Notamacropus eugenii: one gene and its partner. The protein of the gene in region 1 interacts with the protein of each later gene in a biochemical or structural test. Links are inferred from orthologs where the notes say so. Each region holds a gene or a part of one and is shown in the gene's direction. Other genes may lie near its edges.

Region 1 (7,288 bases):
TATTCTTCATGGCAGAAACAGTTGGTGGCCTCCAAGAGTGGCCTCAGGGTATGTTTAGTTAAATCACCCATAGCTTTTTCACCTTTCGTGTATCTGTCATTTACAGGCTTATAGAAGCCTTTTGTCTATCTTGAATGTTTATGGTTTCATTTTGTACAGCTTCCATAAAGGTACTGGCTATGGCATAAAGAATATTTTATTGTAGTCCGCATTTGTTGAATTGTTTTTTTAGGCCTAGGTGTAGGGGGCGTGGCTGAAATTTGGGTTTGCCTGGTTTCTAGGGATGCTGAAGATGTTCCCGATCACCTCTGCTGACATTTCTCAAACTCCAACACTAGGAGCTGAAAACTGGAGGCCCCACTTCCCTGGAATACCCTTTTGTGAAGCAGGCCTTTCTGAACCCTCAGATAGACCTTTTAGAACACATTACCAGGCAAGTAATTTGGGAGCCAGAGTTTGCTTTTAAAATGTTTTTGAATAATTTTAAATGTTTGGACGATTGTAGAAATTCATTAGCTTAAAAATATGTTAATGCAAGCTAAAATCCCTTAGCATATGGATTAGATTTTACAGATTTGATAAATCAATTCCCACTTTGCTGAGAGGAGGCTGTTTAAAACTAAGGAAATTACTTACACTGAATGCTTCAGTCCGTGTCCACCTTCCTGGTCCAGGGCTTAGTAGCCATTTGTCTTTTGAATTCAATAAAATTATGGCAGTTCTGTTGGCAGGCCCTCAGCCCTAAGGTTTAAATGAAGTTGGTCTGGTCATGGGAGTCTGTCTTACAATATACCTCATCGCCTACAGGGTGACCCTGCCCTTTGGGAATATGTGTGTGTATGTGGGCGTGGGGCACAGTAGTGGCCTCATGGTCTGGGATTATGGGAATCTTTGCCTACCACCCTGGCTCTGGCTAAAAGATGAGATGATCTATGAAAAAAATTTTAAATGAATTCCAACTTATTTTCACAAACCTTTTTGCTTCCTTACCTCTATTCCCTATCTTTTCTCCATATTGAAAAGCATTATTTTGAAATACACCTTATTGGTTTCTCTTATTTCTCAAAGCTCTTCTGTGTCCTTTGTGGCAGGTTCTCTTGGTGTTGTGTCCCATCTGATGTGAAGAAAGAACATCCCAAATGTTCTGATTTGGCATAGACCTGGCAACGTGAGACAGGTGACTGGCATGGGGAGGGAGTACTTATTGCCCTGAAATCTTGGAGGCCCCAGAGGAGGTTATGTTCCTCTTGTCTAAAGCAAACCTGAGAATTCAAAATTCATCTCTGTCTGGGACATTAGGTTAGTTTTAAGATACTTCTGGAGAGTACTGGGGATCAGACTTTGGAGGTCTGGGTTTGGGGTTTACTTTATATTAGTATGAACTTGAACCCTGCTGGTTTTCCTAGAATTCAATTCCTTTGGGTTGTGTCATTCTTGTGGAATTAAGAGTGGTTCCAAACCACACTACCCTCTAGGACCCTGTCTTTCCCTCAGTGTATCTCTGTAACAGACATTCCACATACTTGGATCCAGACCTAGGAATCCAGCCTCTGTCTAGGCTGGACCTTCACAGGGGACTAGAAAGTTAAGGAATATATATGTGGGATAACAGAAGCCACTTGGACCTGTAAGGGTCCTGAAAGCACTCAGGCTTTGCAAAGATTACAGTGAGCTCACCGTATAACTAAAGTTGAATTACCTGAAGCTGGAATTTCAGTCCTCTAGATAGATGATAAGAATAAATTTCAGTGACAGGAATCAGAAGTATAGAAAAGATTTATATCAGGAGCATAAAATAGAATTTGTTCACCAGATTTAAAGCTGTAAGGGACTTTGAAATAATCTAGTCTAATTCCCTCATTTTACAGATGAAGAAATGATTCCAGAGGAGGTTAGTGACCTGTCCATATAGGTTGTTGTTGCTCGTCCTTCGTTCTCAAAGAGGACCCTGGCATCAGGGAGGTGATACCATGACTTATGAGTGAATTGGATTTAAGTGAGGCAGGGCTGTGGAGAGTCACCAGCCTCGCTCTCTCCTCTGGAGCTGTCTGTGGCCAGCGGTCAAATATAAATCAGACCCCTGGTGCAGTGGGCTCCATACATAGCCAAGATGAGATTCTGATTCAAGTTCTCTGACACAAAATGCATTGGTTTTTGTTACATTCAGAAAATTAGCTAACTCCTGTTTCTTCTGGTAGGTTTGTAGGCAGTTATGTGACTCTGGAGTGTCTAGAACCTGTCACTCTTGGCATTAGATTGTACTCTCCTGGATAGCCGGGACTGTTGTTTTGGACAGGTACAATATCTGGCACAAAATGTTGTTTATGAATGCTTAATAAATGTTATTTGCTTAATCTCTGACTATAGTTATGTTTATCTCAATCTGTTTCTTTCCCTCTGGGCTCTCTCCTCCTTTTTCGCTGTCATTCAAGATGAGATGGATTTATTTTTACCTCACTGATTGAGTGCTGATACAGCTCATATGGTTTTGGATTTAGATAACTGTACACCAGATTTGTCATATACCTTTCTTACATTCCCCAGTCCATTGCCTGGTTGGTCGTCAATAAATAACTTAGAATTATTGAATTGAATTTTTCCTGGATTTCCACATTGAAGCCACCAGATGTCGCCTTAATTTCAGAGAAACTGTGTGCTGTCTGCCTGGGAGCTCTCTCCCCAGGGCAGTGACATCTGTTTAACTGTGGCTGGAAGGGGTAAAAATATCAGAGGCAAAAAATCGTAAGATGTGCAACTAGGGCTAGCTGAGGGGCCCTGAGGTTTGGCCTGATTTTGGCCAGTATTCACTTTAGTCGGAAGAAAGTGAGTTTTTCATCTCTAGTTTTTCTCTTCTGAAAAAGGAATTCTTCAAGGTCTCATTTATATTCCCTCCTAGCAGTCATGATGCAATTCATGATATGATAAGCTGTTCTTCAGGGATAGAGCAGGACCCCCAGAAGGGAATTAGACTTACAGGGGGTAAAGAAAGGAGTGGTGGTTCAAAGAGGGAGCACAAAACTGGAAATGAAGACTTTGGGGCCCAGTTCAGCTGTCAAGGACTTGTTGAAGACTTGTTATATTCTATCTTTTACTTAGTTCTGGTTCAACCAAAAGAAATACCTTTCTGGCCTTGGGTTGAACTAAATTTTCATGGTTGTAAGAAAGTCTGCTTAGTCAGCAAAGATAGATTAAGTGCCTGTGCTGCTGAGCACCGTGGGGCAGTGCACCAACCAATCAGCAAGACAAAGGAACAGATACAATATAGTAGTACCTGGAGAGGATCATGTTCAGGGACCATCCAGTGCAATTGGTCGTTTGGCAAATAAAGAAACTGAGGCAGAGGGCGGCTCACTGGCTGGTGGCCAGATAGGTGGTGAGCCCTAGAAGAGGAATATGGCTCTTCCTACCGGCCCACCCTGCCGCTGTACTGCTCCTTTCCCTAGATGAAGTAGTATGGCATGGGTTTGGAAACTGCAAAGACAAGAGAGGAAAGATGGAGCTCACAAGCCTTTGTAGCATAGTAGGGAGATAAGAATCCCACTGAGGTTTGTTGGGAAGCTGAGGGGCCTGTAGGGACCTGGAGATACAGAAAGGAGTGAAAGGGAAGGCCTCGGAAGAGCAGCAGAATATCACCAGAAAGCCTTCTAGGAACGCATGTTACCAGCCAGCCCCTCAAAATAGGGTGTCCTGCAGAAGTAAAACGATGAAGGGTTTAGTGGGCCTTTGGGGTTCTGGGTCGCCTTTTAGAGAAATGGACTTAAAGGGGACTCTGAGCAGACAGACTATTCGGAGGGGGCCCCGGGAAAGTGGGCTCGGGAGAAATGCTTCGGAGAGATTTGGGGGCAGCCAGGCCATTCCGGGTGAGGGGGCCGGACACCCCGTGTGCGGGTCCCCCGTGTGCGGGTGCCCCGAGGGTGCCGGGTCCCCCGAGGGCGGCAGGTCCCCCGTGTGCGGGTCCCCCGAGGGCGGCAGGTCTCCCATGTGTGGGTCCCCCGAGGGTGCCGGGTCCCCCAAGGGTGCCGGGTCCCCCAGGGGCGCCGGGTTCCCCGAGGGCGGCGGGTCCCCCAGGGGCGCCGGGTTCCCCGAGGGCGGCGGGTCCCCCAGGGGTGCCGGGTCTCCCGGGGGCGCCGAGCTGCGGGAGGCCAGCCCCAGTGGGAGGCGGCGGGCGCCGCTTCGGGAGGGTGGGGCCCGAGGGGGAGGAGGAGGGGCTGCCGGGGCGGGGGCGGGGGCAGGGGCCGCGGGAGGGAGGCGCCGGGAGGGGGCGGGCGGCCTGCCCCGGGAGTCGCACTCGGCCGCCACCGGCGCAGCAAGCGGAGACGGGCCCGGGCCGGGCCGGGCGGAGCTGGCCGAGTACACGGGGCCCCGGGGGCCCGGACGGCAGGAAGCGGCGGCCAGCGAAGGCCGGGCCACGGGAGAAGCCGAGCGCCACGGAGCCGAGCCGGGCCACGGGCGGGGCCGCAGCCTGAGACCGGACCAGCGCCCTGGTCCGCTAGGTCAGCCCCCTCGGGAGAAGCCTTTCCCGGAGATTCCCCCTCCGCTTCCTTCCTCCCGGCCCTCCTGCCCCCACATGGACACCCCTGTGCCTCCTCCCTGCCCCTCCCCTTCTCCCCTTCCACCGGGAGGGCGAGCCCCCCGTGCCCCAGCCCCAGCCCCAGGCCCCCAGGCCCAGGCCCCCGCAGCCCTAGCTCTGGCCCCATCTCCACCCCAGACCCCTTTCTGCTCCTGGGCTTCCCTCAGCATTAGACCTCTTTTTCTTCAGCCTCAGGCCCCTCTGATCTCCTCCTTTCGTAGGCCCCCCCATGCCCCTCACCCCAGGCCCTCTATTCCACCATAGCTTCAGGGCATCTCATCCCCAACTCCATCCTTACTTTCCCTCCTGGTCCTTTTCTCTAGCTTCCTATTTCTCTTCTATTTTTGTGCCTAAGCTGTCCCAGCTTCAGTCTCCCCAGCCATCTCCTAGCCCCTACCCTAGCCTTGTTCCTTGAGGTCTCAGGCTGGGGTTTGTGTCTTTCCCTTATAGGCCGAAAGGGACTTCAGAGTTCTGAGGCTGTGGGGCAGTTGCCTTCTCCTCATGGCGCTGCCCCCAATCCTGTTGATGCTGGCAGCTTTGGTGGGTGGGGCACGCCCCCCTGAGCCCCGGAATCTAACCCTGGCAGTGGTGCTACCTGAACACAACTTAAGCTATGCCTGGGCTTGGCCACGGGTGGGCCCTGCTGTGACACTGGCCATGGAAGCCCTGGGGAGAGCATTGCCAGTGGACCTGCACTTTGTCAGCTCTGAGATGGATGGCGCTTGCTCCGAGTACCTGGCGCCTTTGAATGCTGTGGATTTGAAGCTATACAATGACCCTGACCTTCTTCTGGGTCCTGGCTGTGTGTACCCTGCTGCTTCTGTGGCACGTTTTGCCTCACACTGGCGGCTGCCCCTGTTGACTGCAGGTGCTGTGGCCTCAGGCTTTGCGGCCAAGAGTGAGCACTACAGAACACTGGTTCGCACTGGGCCCTCTGCCCCTAAACTGGGCGAGTTTGTGGTGACATTGCATGGGCACTTCAACTGGAGTGCCCGTGCTGCTTTGCTGTATCTGGATGCCCGCACTGATGACCGGCCCCATTATTTCACAATTGAAGGGGTCTTTGAGGCCCTGCAAGGCAACAATCTCAGTGTGCAGCACCAGGTGTATACCCGGGAACCAGGTGGTCCTGAGCAGGCTACACACTTCATCCGGGCCAATGGGCGCAGTGAGTGTAGCTTGGGCTTTCACTTGGGGTTGTATGTAGCTAGAGATAGGCATCTCAGGGGTACGTGGAGGCAAAGTGGAGATTTCAGGAACTTGTTAGTAAAGATTGATACTGAGGAGTCATGTGGACAGCTTTAAGATGGATATGGACAGAAATGGGGTTTGTGAGGGGGAGAAGTGATTATGAAGGGAAGCATCTGGCCATTGTGGTTGGAAGACTAAGGGATATTGTGAAGATGTAAGTAACAGGAGCATGTGGGAATAGTGTGTGAGAGGCTTAGTTGTAGGGAGGAGTGGGGGTATTGAGCTCCATGAGGTTTTGTGGTATTGTCGGAGGTATAGAATGTTGGAAATGAAATTATCCTGTAGTTGTGGATATGATGGTCTAAACTCCAAAGGATACTCCTCCTCTATTTCCAGATGCCTTTTGCTGTATTTAAAATCCTTTTCAAACTAATGTCCTTTGCTTAGGGTGCAATAAGTTGGGTTAAAGTTGAGTGTGTTTGGTTGGCAAAGCCAGTCGGGATTTAAACTTAAAGTTTCTAAGCTCGTGACCCCTAAATTGCACTTTTCCTTCCACCCCTCTTCTCCTTCCCAACCCTCCTCCCATCAGAAGCAGAATGGGGGAACTGAGGAAGTGAAGACTAGGAGGAAGTGGGAATGTGAGAGAGAGGGGCTGGGGATAGGGAGAACATACATCCCTTCCTCCCTCTGGAGGTCAAGCTATGACTTATGCCAGATGTTCCTTATGGCCCCAGGGTACTTTCAACACACTCCTGGGGAAAGAGATGTATGTTCTGGAGACTTAAATGGATTTAGGCTCTCACTTTTCTGCTGAAGGGAATACAGAGAATAGAAAGCTTGCAAGCCCAGGGGAAAGGGCTACTTTGGAGTTGCTGGATGCACTTTCTAAGGGTACTCCATTTTTAAATACCTGCCCTCAGTTGTGTACATTTGTGGCCCCCTGGAGATGCTGCATGAGATCCTGCTTCAGGCCCAGAGAGAAAACCTAACCAACGGAGACTACGTTTTCTTCTACTTGGATGTCTTTGGGGAGAGCCTCCGTGCCAGCCCCACCCGCCTCCGAGGTCGGCCCTGGCAAGACAATCGAACTGGAGAGCAGACCCAGGCCCTCAGGGAGGCCTTTCAGGTAACATGGATGGAAGCTGGAGTAGGGGTAGGTGGAATGTCAGCTGTGGAAAGAGGAAAAGGGAGAGAAGTGTTTCCTGGTAAATTGCTCCCTTCTTCCCCCACCCTATGGCATTCCCAGAGCCAGAGTATGAATTTTATAAAGAAAATGATCCATCCATTTCCTTTAAGTCATTTTCCTGTGACTTTTTATTACTGTGTATGGCAAGGTTCTTAAGATCCTGGCCTGCTCTTTCTTTTGCAACAAATCAAGTTTGTACTGAACACCTACTATGTGCCCAGTTGTGTGTTGGACTTCTGTGGAGAAAATGAAGGGGAAAAAGACACATTCCCTGCCCTTGGGATCTTATTTCCTACTTGGGAAACAAAGTGTACATAGGACAGTTAGCTACTGATGAGGCA
Region 2 (7,163 bases), on another chromosome or scaffold:
CTTTCCTCCTTCCCTCCATCCCTCTCCATCAGTTTCCCATCAGCAAGGAAAGAAGTATGCCAAATGGTTACAAGACTGGATCATGCAGCCTGCATCTTAAGCCTCTCCTGATCTCTGACTTACTCTAAAAACAGCCTCCCCACTCTGTTTAGAATAAGATGGACCAGTGGAAGATCAGCGACCCTGAAAGACTCATAAAATACTAAGAAATTTTTTAGCAAGAGGATTGAAAACAGGACAAAATCCATCAATAACTCAAGTGAAAGGGAAAGATTGTTGGACTATGTGTGATTCAGAAGATTTGGTGCTGGGAGCTGGAGATACAAAGGGGGAGGGGTGGGGTGGAAAGTCCCTGCTCTTCAGAAGCTTATATTCTGTTGGGGAATGGAAAAGGGATACAATTTATGCAGATTAATTAGTACAAAGTAATTTAATTTTTTTAGAATTAAATTTTAATCATTTAAAAATTTTGAATTCCAAATTCTCATCCTCCCTCTCATCCCTTCCCCACCCATTGAGAAGAGCAACGTGATGTCAATTATACATGTGAAATCATGAAAATACATTTCTATATTAGCCATGTTGCAAGAAAAATAAAGTGAAAAAAATATGCTTCAGTCTATACTCAGGTTTCATCAGTTCTCTCTTTGGAGGTGGATAGCATTTTTCATCACAAGTCCTTCAGAATCATCTTGATTATTATATCGTTAGATCAGAGTAGTTAAATCTTTCACAGTTACCATATTGCTATTACTATGTACAATGTCCTCCCAATTCTGTTCACTTTTCTGTGCATTAGTTCATATAAGTCTTCCCAGGCTTTTCTGAAACCATCACTTTTTATAGCACATAGTATTCTATCACAATCATATACCATAACTTGTTTAGCCATTCCCTAATTGATGGGCATCCCCTCAGTTTCCAATGTTTTGACACCACAAAAAGAGCTGCTATAAAAATTTTTGTACTTACTGACTATAGTCCTTTTCCTACAAAGTAATTTTAGAAGAGAAAATGCTAATAATTCAAGGGATAGTCAGAAAAGACTTTATAAAGGGTATAGCACCTGAACTCATTCATATTTCACCTGTGGCTCTAAGAAACTGGAGCATGCTCAGCAGCCACTCCCCATAAACCATTTTGGCAGACAGGCTATATCAGGTTAAGCGGAACCAACAGGACTCATATCTAATGGTGAGTTAAGGGGATGTCTACCCTAAACATGAGAAGACTTCCTCCCAGTGGAATGGGTGAATGAGAACAACTTGTTCCAATGACCATGAAAGCAGCTGAAGCAGGAGCTGTGGAGTGCTTAGAGCTTGGTCAGACACAGAGTGTCATATACTGCATCCCAGGTCATTGGCAATCATCCAGACTTTTGTCTTTCCATTGGACTATGATGACTCTGAAAGAGAGAGTGAGTGGGGAGTCAAAACATCGCTGTGTGATGTCATTGGTGCTCTTTGAGATAAAGGAAGAACAAGAGCACATGGGCTGAGTTTTGATAGAAGCTTAAGATTCTCAGAAGTAGAGGTGAGGGATGAGGAAATCCCAGGCATGGGGGACAGGTTGTGCAAATGCATGGAAATGGGAGATGGCATACTGAGTTCAAGGAACAGCTAGTAGGACAGTATTGTCCTATATGTAAGTAAAATACATGAAGATTAATGATATGAAATAAATCTTTAAATTTATATGGGAGCCAGATTTTGGAGAGCTTTCCATTCCAATATTAAGAGTTAATACTTTATCCTAGGTAAAATAAGAAGCCACTAGAGATCTTTGGAGGGCACTCTTGCTTAACTGGTAGAAGATGGATAATAATCCTACAAAGCCGACTAAGATGGAGTGGTCAGAAGGATCAGGGCAGAATACTGTCATAGAAGCCAAGGGAATATAGAGTTTCTAGGAGAAGGATATTGTTGACAGTGGCAAAAACTGTGAAGATGTCAATTAGAATGAGGATTGTGAAAAGAGCATTGGATTTAACAGTTAGGAAATCAATGGTAAGCTTCTGCTGTTTTTCCTTCATTCTTGAAAAGGACCATGACATTAGGGAGGTAATGCCTTGCCATGCACGTGAATTGGAGTTAAATGAGGGAGGTCTGTGTGAAGTCGCCAGCTTCACTTTTTTCTCCGGAGCCATCTGGGTCCAGTGGCCAGATAGGGATCAGAACAATTAGAGATGACCCAGGATGCAAAGGGGGACCTCGACTTTTTCAAGCCATTTCCAGGTCTCAGTTTGATTGATCCAATGCCCATTCAGTGATTAAATTTTAATAAGAAATGAAGCAAAGAACAGCCTCTTAAAAAAAGAAAAAGATTTGTGAGGGGAAGACCCTCAATAAGGGATATAAAAACAGAAGTTACCAACAAAATGTTTTTAAAAACTAAATCATTGTTGTCCTCCCAAGGAAGTCAAGTGAGGGGGTTGGACCTCTGGAGTCCTTTGTAATTCTAAATCTTTGAGATTACCAAAGAGGAGAAAAGGGTCTGAACAAGGATTTGAGTGGAATGGTAGTACAGATAGGAGAGATATTTCAGAGGTAGAATTGAGGGAACATGGCAATTTTAGGGGGAATTAGCTTTGTTTTTGCATATTTGTGATGATGGGTTTTTTGTCTTTTCGTTCAATTGGTGAGAGATGGAAGTGGATTGAGAAAAACTGCTTTTTAAAAAGGGAGTCTGGCAACTGATAAATCAAGAAGCATTTATTAAACACCTGCTATAAGCCAGGCACGATGCTAAGAACGGGGATACAGAGAAAGGCAAGAGACAGCCTTTGATCTCAAGGAGTTCACAGTCTAAAAGGGAAGACAATTGCAAACAATTATGTAAAAACTAGATATGTACTGGGTAAACTGAAGATAATTTCAGAGGGAAGACACTAAGGTTAAGGAGGACTGGGAAAAGGGATTAGGGAAAGGAAGTCCTCAGCAATAATTCCAAATCCAGCACTCTTTGCACTCCACCATACGTAGAAAGTATGAGAGTAATTTTATCCCTCATTTTTGTTTTTCAAAATTTCATAGTAATAAATTATATTGCTTAAGGGATGGCGCAACAAGCCGAAGACTATCTATAGGAGTGATATAAAATCAGAATGCAAATTCTGGAAAACTCACATCTGTACCTGTGGGGAGGGGGAGGAGAAATGATCTGGCGCTTGACCATCTTCCTGTCTTCTGGGGCTGCCTGGTACTTGGATTTGTTTGCTACTTAACTAGGCTCCGAAATGTGACACAGTTCAAGGAGGGTTATGTGATGGACCGCCGGCACCATGGACAGCGGCAAAAAATGCCCAATTCCAGAGGGCCATAGTGACTAGATGACCGCAGGACCTACCAGAGGGATTTGAGAGAAAAATCAGTATGGGGGAGGGGTGGGGATACTGAATTCCTGACCAGAGCGGCCACCCCACCCCTTTCCTTGAAGCGGGAAGCTGACTTCATCCTGCAAGGTGTGCATGGAGGGAGGAGGTGACTGGAAAAGAAGATGATGTGAAGAACTTGGCCTGTTCTTGGTCAGCCTCTCCTTTGTCACTTTTCCCTCCCTCCCCGAAGGGTGTTTGCTCCCAGATATCTTCCTTCATCCCATCTCCAGTTAGATTCCTCTCAATTAACTCTTGTAGGACCCTTGAAAGAGGAAACTCCTAGGAGGCTTGGGGTCAGTGGGAGGCGAGGGGTGTGCTGAGCAGGAGAATTGCGTACCCACTTCTTAGTCCCATAGCTGTATTCTCTTCTCCTTCCCCATCCAAGAGAGGAGTCTTCACTGTCAGTTGTGCCAGTGAGTGTTGGGATGGGGTGTCCCCAGGGCTTCCTTGCCCTTGGGAAATTTAGGTGGAAGAGAACAGAAAAGGGAGTGTTTCTCTAGCTCGTTTCTATACAAGGCCATCCCTCTTTCACCAGTCCCTCACTCCCACCCCTTACATTCAGCTGAGACCCGAGTTAGAAAGAAAAGGCGGGGGATCAAGGAAGAGGGGGGCAGTACAGAGACTGTGTGAGACCGCGGGGGCGCATTCTCCGGCTTTGAGCTCAGCGAGGTCGGAATGTGGCTGATAAGTCAGAGATAACCCCGGGACCAGGAAGGGCAGGGGCAAGGCAAGGCAGGGCTCGGCTTCCAGCCACTGGGAATAAATAGCGACTGACCCAGCGAGTAGCCAGATAGAGAAAGCCAGAAGGGCAGAGAGAGGAAAGAAGTAGCATTGTCTGCGGCAGCAGCAGCCCGAGGTTTCTCCTTCGCCCTCCAGTCCCCTCCTTCCAAAACATGGACTCCCAGAAAGCGCTGCCCAGCATCTTTCTGCTCCTGCTCCTTCTGCAGCTCCAGGGCAACTTTTCCCATCCCTTAGACCGACCTCGCCAGGCTCGGGAGCTGACCGGGGTCCAGGTGAGCACAGCACATAGTCTACGGGTCAGCTGGCAAAAGGGAAACCCAAATCTGCCTCCTACTCCCACGCCCTTGCTCCGAGAGTTCTTCAGAACCACTGGGAAGTGATAGGTAGGGGTCTGGGATTGGGAGCACCAAGGGGAACCTCTGGATGTGTATCTCTATTCTCCCTCCTTACTAAGGGATTTCCGAAAGAATCATCAGACTGGCAAAGCCTAGAAGATACCCAAAGGTAGCAGAATGGCCCCTGAGAAGTTCGAGTAACCCTAGATTCTTAAGGTCTTGTTGGCGATGCACTGGGCGCCGGCGGGAGCTTGGGGAGGGGACTAGAAGAGCTGATCTGCAAGGGGGCTCACAATTCTTGCTAATCTGTCTCCTTTACTTCCACCATCCTTCCAGGAACTGCTGTACCGACTAAGGGACAAGATCTCAGCTTTGGAGGAGTTGGAGATGGCGGAGCCTGAGCCGAGGGAGCAAGAAGAGACCCCGGGGGAAGGCTGGGAGAACAGAAAGCCCGAACACCCACTGGTGCCAGAAGGCAGCCGTGTCCATAGGGTCTCCACCTTCCAGGCTCTGCGTGGTCTGCAAAGCCCGAAACTAATGCGAGAATCAGGCTGCTTTGGCAGGAGGCTGGACAGAATTGGCTCTCTCAGCAGCCTGGGGTGCAATGGTAAACACTCCTTTTCCCCTGCCCTGTCTCTTTTCTGGCTTAATATCCCCAGGTGCCCCCTCCCCACCCCCATACAGTCATAGAAGACCTTCTTCTCAAGTAGTCACTCTATCACTTAGACTCCATCTCATCTCCAGATTTAGTGACCAGAGAACAGAATTGGGGATAGAGGAATCCAGTAAAGGAACCAAGGTTACAAAATGCCATTCAGAGACACTTAGCTTGTCTCCCGCCCCCAAGGCTGGAACAAAAGAGAAACAGAGTGAGCTCAGGGGGACTGCGCGGTTCCCTGGGGAACAGCAGAGGCTTGCACAAAGATGCCAAAGAAGCTACATGGAGAGGGGAGGAAGAATCCCACAGATATACTCCTGCAGCCACTTGCTCATTTGGCTGGCTTTTAATTTTTTCTTCTTTTCTTATGATTGATCGACTGGCAAGTTTCCCCCACTTGGAGGGCACAAGCTGAATAGGAAGACATACTAAGGACATAGAACCCTTTGAAAGAGGACTCCTCTGCCCCCAAGAGACCCACATTCTAGTCCTAGGTCTTTCCTGTCCAAATTTAGAAAAGCTCCCTGTCGGTAGCATGGGAGTTGCTGTTGACACAGCAATGCTCCCTTATCATGTGGTTATTTTCTTTTATCTTTGCCTTTTTTATGGACTAGCAGAAAGATCCCTAGATATGCAGTCTGGGGACATGAGTTCAATTCCAGATACCTTCCATTTGTGGCTTTTGGGGAAAATCACTTAATTTTTCTGTGCCTCAGTTTCCTCATCTGAAAAATGAGAGGGTTAGACTCAATGGCCTCTGAGGCCCCTTACATCTTTGGATCCATGATTCCACAATTTGGTCAATGAAACATCCCATGATCCCCCTTGAGTCTTCTCCTTGTTTGTATCTGAGGTCTTCCATTGGCAAGGGCATAGTTCAGCTCTACTAACAGCCCTTGGGGTTAAAAAGGCTGCAATATTCCATTATTTCCATGATTCAACCATCCAAGCTCCAAGTGTCCCAGATGCTAAATGATTGAGTGTTATTCTGTAATGGCAGCCCCTGTGGGGAATAAGGGTTCATTCATTTTCTGCTTCCTAGTAATGCCCCCAAGCTTCTCATAGTTGCAAAGGCAGGAGATGAAATCGTTCAGTTGGATTGTTTTTCCCATTCTGCAATTGAGGAAACAGGCTCAGAGAGATTAAAGGACTAGAATAAGTTTCAGGAGTCAGTGTAGTTTAGAGGCTAGGACAGGAAAAGAAGTAAAGAAGGGGAGAGAGAGGCAAATTTCACTTTAATGCCAGGAAAAACTTGCTAATTATCAGAGCTGTCCTTTGGAAATAATGAGTTCTCCTTTACCAGAGGTCTTTAAGGAAAAGCTTGATAACCCTTTGTGGGGAAATGGTTTTTGCTCTTTTTGAATTACCTGGTCAATGAGGTCTCTTCCTACTCTGAGAATTGATGATCCTATGAGGTGATAAAGTCAAACAAAACCCAGAGAGAAAAAAAAAGAAAAATCGAGATTCTACTTCAGCTCTGAGCCTCCCCAGGAATAACCTTATTTTTCTCTTTTCTCCTCCAACAGTGTCAAGAAGGAACTAAGAAGTCCCAGCCACCTACTCCCTAACATCTAATTCTCACTGAGGCTTTTCCACCCCCTCAAAATGACTCCTATTTATTTGCATTTATTTATTTATTTATTTGGTTGTTTTGTATAAGCTGGTTTCTTACTTTTGAGCATGGAAAATTCATGGTTAAATAAAATCAGCCTGATTTTTTAAAATTTTGGAGCCATTATTCTTGGAACATTAAAAAAAATCCACCTACTTCCCTCTATGTGCCTGTATTTTATGAAAGATGCTGACTTGGATGGGACAAGGAACTTCAGTTTAGTTCATTAAGTGTTTATTAAATGCCCATTAGATGTTAGGTCTTGGGGTTACAAAGACAAAAGTGAAAGATCTGTTCCTCCAGGTGCTCACTTTCCACTGGGGGAAAAACCTATATACAGATAAATACAAAGCATCTGAATGACTGTAGTGGCAATGTGAGGATGCAAACATCCAAGTGTTGGAAGATTTTGGGGAGTCCATATTATAGGAGACTTCTAAATGC

The links.
Region 2: the proteins of NPR2 (region 1) and NPPB form a complex in vitro, tested with the Homo sapiens proteins (3 studies listed by BioGRID). The link is inferred for Notamacropus eugenii from reciprocal best matches to the Homo sapiens genes NPR2 and NPPB.

The regions. Positions count from the first base shown.
Region 1 is NC_092872.1:79,358,592-79,365,879, forward strand, and holds the start of NPR2 (atrial natriuretic peptide receptor 2), read left to right. Parts: upstream 1-4,267; 5' UTR 4,268-4,493; intron 4,494-5,020; 5' UTR 5,021-5,071; coding exon 5,072-5,738; intron 5,739-6,681; coding exon 6,682-6,887; intron 6,888-7,288. UniProt on the Homo sapiens protein: Receptor for the C-type natriuretic peptide NPPC/CNP hormone. Has guanylate cyclase activity upon binding of its ligand. May play a role in the regulation of skeletal growth.
Region 2 is NC_092876.1:51,288,100-51,295,262, reverse strand, and holds NPPB (natriuretic peptides B), read left to right. Parts: upstream 1-4,154; 5' UTR 4,155-4,266; coding exon 4,267-4,386; intron 4,387-4,785; coding exon 4,786-5,056; intron 5,057-6,633; coding exon 6,634-6,650; 3' UTR 6,651-6,831; downstream 6,832-7,163.